2 linked regions of the Drosophila melanogaster genome follow. The gene in region 2 interacts genetically with the main gene of each other region. Each region holds a gene or a part of one and is shown on either strand. Other genes may lie near its edges.

What was found.
Region 1: of tai (region 2) and Pvf1, changing one enhances a phenotype caused by changing the other (phenotypic enhancement), as found in Drosophila melanogaster (one study listed by BioGRID).

What each region holds. Positions count from the first base shown.
Region 1 is NC_004354.4:18,830,592-18,835,735, reverse strand, and holds the start of Pvf1 (PDGF- and VEGF-related factor 1), read right to left. Parts: upstream 3,055-5,144; 5' UTR 2,790-3,054; intron 1-2,789. Other genes in the region: CG7101 (uncharacterized protein), read right to left, coding at 3,936-4,513, 4,593-5,073.
Region 2 is NT_033779.5:9,164,528-9,169,794, reverse strand, and holds the start of tai (taiman), read right to left. Parts: upstream 3,018-5,267; 5' UTR 2,357-3,017; intron 1-2,356. Other genes in the region: CG9586 (uncharacterized protein), read left to right, coding at 3,411-3,572, 3,631-3,852, 3,923-4,195; CG13108 (uncharacterized protein), read right to left, coding at 4,575-4,775, 4,947-5,267.

The sequences.
Region 1 (5,144 bases), on a different chromosome or scaffold from region 2:
GTGGAATATGCGGACAAAGCGTTTTAAAGTGATCCTGGTTTCGTGCAGTGTATGAGGGCAAGACGAAGAAAAGCAAAGTGAGAAGTGGTGCAAAAAACAACACAGGAAAGGAGATAGCAGAATGGGTAAGAGGGGTGTGGAAAGGGGTGGGGAAGGAGAGCAAGATCGGATGGTGTTAAAAATAGCTTTAAGCTCGCCTTGTAACGGTACTCCTCGGGAGTTTCAATTTGTGTGTATGTTTCTGCACTTGCGTTTTAGGTGCAATGGGTGCACAAGTGTTTATTTGTGGGCTGCAATCAACACACACACACGCACACGGAATTCAGCTATCATTGTTTTCCTTTCTGTTTTCCTTACATTTCTTGGCTCTTTTTAACAGTTAAGCAAATACCGATTGATATGACAGACCAAACGTTGTTATTCTTTTCATCGCTCTCCCTCCCTCTCTCTTTCTCTGTTGCCAGGTGTCACGCACACCTGTGTGATTCATCTTGACATTCCTCTGTGCCGTCTTGTTGTTGTTGCTCTGTTTTTATTTTTTTTTTTGGCGGCTGCTGCACAAGCTTTGTGTGGAGTAACAGCTGTTAGCTTAACAGTTTCGGAATAATTTTCAATTGGAATTAAAAAGATATCAAGTAATTTACTAATCTATCTGCAAAGAATTTCAATAGATCTTACAAACTGAAAACAAGATTCAAAATATAATGCAGATTCTTAAAACCTCTATAGGATGTTCGTTCGACGGGTGGGCCGCTGGTGATTGCACAACCTGTCACATCGAAGGTCTCTTTAACCCGATTCAACGGTTAACTTGTGCGTCTAGTCAGTTATCAGTTATCAGTTGTTGTTGTTTTTGTTGTTGTTGCTACTGAGGCATTTCGTCAGCGCAGATATTACAGATCGACCACAGGGAGACGGATAGATGGGAGTAGTGGTAAGGGGGAAAGGCAGATTACAAAATTAAGCACGTTTTTAAATTATATATATGAATGCGAATATGTACTTATTGCGAAAGCGACAGGCTTTTGTTACTCCTCATACTGATTGCTTTTAGTACCCTGTACTAAAAAAAGGTATGCTAACTTTGGCGAAATCTGATCAGCATTTAGTTTCAAAAAACGCAATCAAGCCACTGTTTACAAGCTTTCTTTAGGAATATTAAACTTATAAGGCTATCATATGCATATATCCATGCCTCAGGTATCATATAGTCGATAGACGATACCCATATGATCTGTATTTAGTTTGCGCAGGTGTCAGCTGTATTTATTCTCACACTTTCGAGGCATTCCTTCCCGGTGCGTCACCCGAAGATATCAAATCATATCAAGTAATCTCAAGGAGGAGAAGGCGAGGAACCAAAAGGAATCATCTCGGAATCGCGATCCCCACTTGGGCGGTCCTTAATTACGCGAAGGGAGTGCCTCCCGCCAGGCAATTGCTCCCCGCACAAGAATTCCAATACAAAAGGAAGACTCAAGCGTTAATGATAAGACCGCGGGCGCGGCGCGGGCGGAGGCGTGGCAGATCAGGGAACAGGCCCATAGCTTGTCTTCCCGTCTGGTCATTCGCTCAGGCAAATCAATTACAATATAGACATGATAATAACTCCACTGCATCCATGGGCCCATGTAGACGGGGGAGCAGTAGAGCAAACAACAAACAAGAAAACACAAAACTTGGACCAACAGGAGGGCAATGGGCAATGGACAATGGGCAGTGGGTTCTACAAGCTCTACAAGATAAATTATGGATTTGCTCCCAAAGGGCTCCCAAAGGGATCGGGTCAACGGCGACGTCTGGAATGCGAGTCTAAGATTAACCGATTTCAACTTTTGGAAGGCGGAAATATGAACAAGTTTTTAAAAAACTAGGGCATATCTAAAATAATTGTTTTCTTTTTTAAGTTTAGTGAAGGTGTCACTTGCTCAAGGTATAGTTTCCTTTCTAGGATATCAAAGTTCTCCAGTTGTTTCATACAATATACGTTATAATTAGAAACGTTTACTATAATATTTTAATATTCATCACATAATATATAATGTGTGACTTTTGTGAGCAAACATTATCATTAAACGTGTTTTCTTTTAATGAAAACCCGCAAATGTGCATTTCAAAATAAATTATTTCTTAAAAATGGCATTTTTGTTCTAAAATGTTATAAATTAAAAAAAAAAAAAAAAAAACAGGAACTTTGAACACATTGCCAGCATTAGTTTATTGAACTTTATTGACGATTTATCCGCAATAACTCGATCATAAACAACTTGATATATTGCAGTTTAAGGCAGCGACTACATTTAAGCCAAGTTCACTTTCATTTGTGATTCACAAATCTTATATTCGCACGCGATTTGACGTAGTTTGATTTGAATAACGATTAAGCCCGGCTTAGACTTTGTTTTTAGGAATTCAAGCGCAACATTTTCACTGGGTTTTCCACACAGCCACTGGAATAACTCAACAGCCAGATCAAAAAACGTTAATTGCAATTGTACTTTTTTGTTTTGTTTGGTTTTTTTTTTTTTTGCATTTGTTAATGATAAAATGGTGTTCTGGTTTTGCTCGAAAGCTATTGGGGAAAAAAAACATATATATAACAAAAGGCTGTGCGCTGTGGAGAGCTTTTTAAAAGGCCCGGCTTTAGTGGGGCAGAAGTGGAAAACCATATAAACAATAACAAAAAGCAGTTTCAGTTTAAATGTTAGATGTAGTCGAGGGTCGCTGGCTTGTTTGTTTACGCTGCTGATTTGTGTTGAAATGTTGAAATTTTGAGAAGCACCACTTACTTTATGGAAACACGGCTTGAAAATTCTAAATATTATGTTTTACACGAAGTTCAATGGCACAAATCGGTTAGCACGAAACGAAAAACAAACAACAAAAAATATGTGTGCACAAATGGGGGGTTTTGTATTTAATAATTTGTGATATATATTTGAGCGCGTTTAAGTTTGTGGTGTTAGCCTCGCGGAGATCGGCGGAGCTGCGATCCAAGCACCAGCAAGTTCCGTTCAAAACTGTCGACTCGTCGGTGTGGGCCAAGTTACTGCGCCCCTATCACCACAGTCGCCAATAACAATAGCAGTAGCAGTAACTGTTGCAGTAACAGTAACAGTACCCAGCTGTCGCAGCATTGCGCTCTCCGCTCTGTACCGCAACACTCACATCCAATCCGAACCGAACCGCTCCGCTCATTACTCTCCCGATCTTGGGGCCTGGAGCGGAGCGGATGGGTTTCACTGTTAACAGTTAACGCTGGGAGAGCGCGATCTCGACTTACGCACACCCTCGCTCAGGAGGCTCGCTGAGATTTTAAATTTAAATATATATAGAGCAACATGAACAATACATATGTTACATTCTATTATCTGTCTATTGGTGGAAATGGAGTATATTATCTGATTAATCAGTGTTGTGGTGATGATAAATATTACTCATAAAGCTGCACTATTTCATCGTTATTTTCAAAGTATTCATTTTAGTGTGACATTTTACATTATGTTAACACTACGCAGCAATAATCTGTAAACTTTCTTTAGGCAATCTTTCATTCTTTCAAACTTTCCTTAGAAAATATTTCAATTGTGCCCGTTTCTATTAACCTGACTTCATGTATTGATATTTTTTTATTCATATAAGTACATTGTCTTTCAGCCATCTGCTTGCTATATTAAAGTAACTATTCGCTTATGTCTATAGTTCCTAAGATGTAAATGTAAATCGTCTCATAAGCATTAATTTTACAGCAAAAAATAAAATACGATTTTAAATTCAAGTTCGTTTGGAAAAACATTTCCGATGACTAGGATATAAATTCAAAATATTAACGCTATTAAAACGTTACATTTATCCATTGCTTAAGTATATATTAATCGTAGTTCTGGACGTGAGATGTCGCTCAGGTATCTACGATTCCGGCTAGGTTGACTGCCCTACGGATGTTCCTCACACACATGCCGTTCGAGATCGATGGCCCGGAAGAAGGGCCGCACGCAGAATTCACAGGTGTAAGTGCCGTGTCCATGGCCGCGATCCGTCTTTATGTGATCGGTGAGGTGGCACCGCTGGGTGAATCTCTTTCCGCACGTGGGACACAGATGCGGTCGGTGGTCCAGGTGCAGACTGTTAACGTGCTTCTTTAGGTGATCAGCAGTGGCGAAGTCCGCCTGGCAAATACCGCACACATGACCGCGCAAGAGGATGTGAACACGTTGCAGATGGGACCGCAGGGCTTCTCGGCTGCCATGGCTCTTGCCACAGTAGCAGCAGTCCAGGGCACTGCGTTCGTGAACCTGCTCCAGGTGCCGCACCAGGCTCAGACTGCCGGGGAATCCGTTGGCGCAGAAGGGACACACGAAAACGCTCGGCTTAGCGTTCACAATGCACGACTCCTTGTCCAGGTCGGTGGGCCAGCCAAAGGTGAGATCGTCGTCCCAGTCGATGCTGGGCAGTATGTTCTCAATGTTCTCCTCTAGCATCTCAAGATCCTCCATTTCATCAACCTGGCTGTCTGCAGGGATCGGATTGAATAGTATTATTAAGCAGGGTATGCCATTAACATCACAACTACTCGTAAGCAGAATACCTACCTGCATCACTGGCCGTGGACTTCAGGGTACGCAGGCGATGCACCTCCTCGGCGTGCTCCTGCAGCTCCAGCATCCCGCTAAAGGTCTTAACGTCGTTGCAGTTGTCCGTGCACATGTCGCAGTAGAACAGCGACTGCTGGCCGTGCCAACTGGCAACATGACGGTAAAGAAACGTGGCTGACGCGTACTTCTTGCCGCACTGCAGGCACAGGAACTGGCCATCGTTGTGCTTTCGCTCCCGATGCCGCTCCAGCCGGGCCTCCTCGCCGAAAAGCGTCAGGCAGTGGGGGCAGACGAAAAGACGCCTCACCCTGACGGAGCACTGCTGCTCGTGCCGCTTGGCGGCCAGATGACGAGAGAACTCCGCAAAACAAACGCCGCAGTGGTACGTACGCTTCTTGGCCGGCTTCTTCGCCGCCAGCGGCAGGGCTCCGCGGTTGCTCGCTCCCGGCGCTTTTGGCCGGATGGGCACCGGTTCCATAATTTTAGCTTGTCCAATTAAAATTGTTGTTACAAGCAAAACTGCTCGCTGACTATCGATATCGGAAGGCG
Region 2 (5,267 bases):
ACTGTAGCAAAATGAAAATGTCAGCGGCAGCGGCAGCTGCTGTAGCAACAACAACGTGCCCCAATCCAACGAAATAGTTAAGTGGATACGAGAGGGCACAGTGAATGGAATCCATCAACCGCCCATGGTGATCCCCCCTACCACCTACCATCGTGGTATCCAACTGGCAGCCCAAGCCGACGAAGCCTTTCCAATCACATTACTGAGTGCCAGGCGATGTCCTCCGGGGCAAATGGGCTGGGTTTGGAAACCCAGGGAGCTACTTAGCATCCCAACTGGAAGAGATGAACCCTTCAGGAGACGAAAATCAAATGGAATGTAACAGATAGATTCCTTAAGATAACAGAAAACCCTTATCACAGCTCTATAGTTTGGAAAGATATTTTAATGAATTCTCGTGAAATAAGAATATATATACTTCATGGTTGTTATTTAAGTTAATCTTTTGAGGAATTGCAGCAAAATGAGAAGAACTTCATTTTGAATAAGTGTTAGCAACTCACTTGAATAATAAAGAAATAATAACAAATTTGTATGGCATACAGTACAGTTTCCATCAATACATGCCGCCTCTTTTTTCTTATTAAAAATTCAATGATCAGATAAATTTTCACATTTTTCCATAGCTCACCTTAATTTAAAGCGCATGCAGCAAATACTAAATACTTAAATTCGAAATACAAAAAGCACGCATATGTTTTCAGTCACACAACACGGAACCAGCGGCAAACTAAATAAGCAATGGTATTATAGAGATCACAGCCACACGCCCCACCAAGCAGCCATCGCCACTCCATACGGAATTAGCTCTCGCTTTCACTGTGGGTGGTCCTGGAAAATTCCACGAGCCACAAGAATGGAAAGCACTTTGCAGGATAAGCGCCCCGTGGCATCCTCGAAAAGACCAACCACCCCACGTTGTTGAATTGATTTTGCTATGTGAAGTGCAGCTTCACATATAAATTCCCTGCCAAATTGTTTTTTTTTTGTTTCTGCCATTGACTTGTTGCGTTTTCCATTTGATTGCCTGGCCGCAAGCCTGGGTTTATGATATGGAAATCAATTTAATTCATTCCCACAATTAGGGCCATGACTTTGGCCCACTGCAGCGGGCCAAAAGCAGAGCCATCGAGCAAATCTGCCATAAACCAGCGAACAAGAAATTCTTATGGGCGAGGGCGTGTCCACCAACTACCAACTGGCAGTTGAAAAGAGCCGTAAAACACAAGGAACCCCCAAAAGAAGAATGCGCACAGTGGGCCTAAAAAGGAAATAACAATGAATTCAAAAACATGAAAGGCAAGGAAAGTAATGAGTATTTTTGTATATTATATACAAACATAACAGCATTAACGGTTCAAACATTTTATATTAATTTTTTTTTTTAGTTTTATGGTATTTGATCCCACTGTGCTTTATTGCAAAATCGCAAGCAATGAAACGTGTGAATTTTATGAGCTCGCTGAAACTTAAATGGGTCTCCAATTTAATGACGAATTCTGCATTTTGGGAAAGAGAGAGCGCGAATTGTACGCAACAGAGCGAGATAGATGACGAAAAGCTGAGGTTTTATATATGTATGTACATTTTAGGCCGAAACATTCTTCGTTTTGCCGTGCTTTTCATTTTTCCGGTTTTCACCTTTCCGCTGCCGCTGAATCAGTCAAGACCGCCTGCCTTCCCCCCTCCCCCTTCTGGTGTCGTCTGCTCGCTGCCAGCGTCAATTACTTAATTTTAATGGCCTTTATTATGCATACCACAAACACAGAGGCGTTCGCCGAGGAGCGCTCGCATGAATATGCACACGGATTGGAAAGTGTAAAACACTCACATTAACAAGCCCATAAACAAACCTGGCTCATTAAAAAAAAACAGTCAACACAACTCGGGTTGCGGCCGCCGCAAGTCGATAGGCGAAGGAGCAAAGTGGGCGGAGGTCCTTGTGGGCGGCAGGATGCCAAGAATGTGGCAGGAGCCAACTCAATGTTGGCAGGAGGGGAGCCAGAGATCACACAGGCAACTCCAAAGCACTTCAAAAGTGCGCAAACATAAAGGTATCTCAAAAATGTATCATCTTAATTTTATATAATTTATTTGTTTTTGTAATTAATGAATAATTTATAACACATGCCTAACACATAAATATATGTAAATCCTAAGGCAATAACTAATTTTACTTATTTTCGAAAAAAAATATTCTTAGGAGATGGTTTTATATATGATATCGTTATCAATTAGCACGTCTTATTTTGACAATCAATCAATTTATGAAATCGCAGACCTGCCACAACTGGCATACATACATACATATGTATGATTGTACATATGTATGTATTTTCCGATGGATATCACTAACCTCAGGTTAACTTATCGAAGGGATTTCTCTCTGCCTCTTGTAAATCACGCACTAACATGGGGTTGTATGAATTTCGTTTGTATATATTCCACTTGTTGCCAACGGCACACGCGCGATTGTGTGTGTGTTGTGTGTGTGTGTGGGCGCTTTTCCTTCTTTACGACGCGACGCAACAACAAATAAACAAAAGCCGATGGCGACGACAGCGGCGACAGCAGCAACAGTAAAAATAACAACACAACTTTGGCGACAGCGACGCAGGTGTCGCAGACGTGTGACGTTGTTGCTGCAATTTGTTATTGTTGCTTTTGCTTTCGCTGTTTGCTGCGATGTGAGTTATCAGAAAATCACCAAACACACACGAACGCATAGGTAACACACACACACACACGAGCGCACATTTACGCACAAAACCGTACAAGTATTTCAGTCAAAAGAAACAAACAATTTGTTTATAAGTTTAATTGATCCATTTCACGCCTTTAGCTGTGTCACAAGACTTCTTGTTGTATGACAATAAGAGATGGCAGGCCAGATAGAATATCTTTTAATTCTGACAGAGTTTCAATAGCACAGCAGTTAATATTTCGTTTTCAAACAAAAAGCGTAATTTTTTAATCGGCAAACAACTAAAAGGTGTGCGGGTATTTACCAACACTGCGGCAACAGCTGTTCGCTGGTAGTTAACAGTTGGCTAACAGTAGTGTTCAGGTGTCAGTGTTGCCAGCAACAAGTTTGGAAAATATTAATGTAAATAATAATTATTAAAATAGAAAGACCAATTAATAAACTTGTGAATTTACCTAATATATATAATATTCTATTTCTAAAAATTCTATTTCAGTAAAATGATTGTATTTTCTGTTAAACTTTCTTTTTCCAGTCAGTTGGCAGTGCTACTGCAGCAGCTGTTCCGCTGTCAACGCTCACCAACACTGCGCCACATGCTCCACAAATTTTTTTGTTGCCTTTTGCGGCTGATTTGTCACTGCCAGAGTTTATTCCGCAAATAAAATCCTCTATACATGATATTTAAATCAAATACCGAGTAACCATGAGCGCCACGGATGACTTCCAGAGCTGGCTCAACGAGCAGCTGCGCAAATTGAACACCGACGAGAACGTTTTCGGTTCGTATATTATTGGAATTTTGGAGGGCGACGAAACGACAGATGAAAAAACCGAGGCTCTCGAGGGAATTCTCAGCGAAACAGGTGTAAGTTATGGTTAGTAATATCATTGCCTACATAAATTATGGTCCGTGATCTTTGCAGTCCGCCAACATTGACGAACTGGTGGCCACCATACTACAAAAGTGGCTACAGAGCCATCCCAGCGCCGATGATCCGCCGAAAAAAGGTCTGGATATCGATGTGAATGCCCAGTTGGCCAAGTTGCTGGAGCAACAGAAGCTGCAACCCGCCGTAAACAAGGAGCGTGAATACACCGAAGAGGAGCGTCGCATCAAGCAGCAGATTCTAGCTCAATACTCCCAGGTTGCTATCCATGCTGGCCAAGCTGCTGATTCCAGATATCTATTACTAGCTTTAAAGTAGAAGTATCTAGTATCTAATGACAATGCCAATCTTTTTGCAGACTGCCGTTGCCAACGAGGACGACGAGAATTCCGAGGCGGAAAGCGAGGATGACAGTGGAACGCTCACCAAGAATACCAACAAATCGGATGTCCAGGCGCTAGCCAAGGAAAAGCGGGAGCAGGCCCGAATGGATAGTGCGGCCAAAAAGCAAAAGGACAAAGAGGATCGGGAAAAGCAAAAGCAACTGCGCGAGGAAAAGAAGGAGAAACGCAAAACCGTCAAAGGCGAACGGCGTCGATAACCGTCCCCAAGCGAATATTTTTAGACTCTTTCTATTAAAAACAACAAACAACAAATCTGTACAAAGTGCATTTCGCTTGAATGTTTGCATGTTTGCCTAAAGCGAAGTAAACTTTGAAGAGATCTACCGAACTGTTGAATATAAATGTATTAAAATTGAAACGCCAAGATTTTAATTTGATATTTTCAAATGTTTTCCTTTTGATTTCCTTTTTTTTTCTTAGTTTCTTTAATTTTCTAAATTAAATTTAATGCTGTTTTCACATAGCTGTTACAAGGAAATTTGTTGTTTAACCCTAACTTGGCCAACTAGTTGTAAATACTAATGAAAATGTTAGTTTTGTGTATAATTAGTAGTTGTTTTTTTTTTAAGAATCAGCTTAATTTTGCTTATCCTCCTCCGCCTCCAAAGTATCTTCTTTGTCCGATGTCGTTTTCTTATTTCGCTCTGATTGTAGTTCCACGGAGATTTTCTTAATCGCCTCCAGATCGTGCAGTTTAATACGTCTGTTGTTGGGATCCAAGCAGTTGACTTTGACCTCTATGAAGTCGCTCGTCTGCTGATCATCCCAACTGGAATACTGCAAAATTAAGTATATTAATAGAATGCTTATTGATAATTATTTATAAACACAGGAGGTCACAGGAGGTATATTGAAATTATCACATTGATGCAAATAACTTGAATTGATTAAGTATACATTGGTATATCATGTATGTGACCACCATTGTCATACAAATAATCCACTCACTACAGAACTGGAGGTAAAGAGCAGCTCCTCCTCCTCGGCAGCCGACTTGACCCGCAGATACTTCTGAAGCAGATTCGTTTGTTCATCTTTGCGCCACAGACACAAGCGATTGTTCTTTAGCCAGTCGTTTTCCATAAGATCAGACTTTTTTACCAGCAAATCCAGTTGGCTTAACTTAACAAATTGCTTCTTGGGCGGCAGACTCTGGGGTCGCTTTGAAGTGCTGGCCGACGGGTAGTCAAAGTCGTCGTCGCTGGGATCGGTTTCTAGGTCATCCTCTTCGTCGGACTCCTCGTCGCTCACCTTGGCCATCCGGCGCTT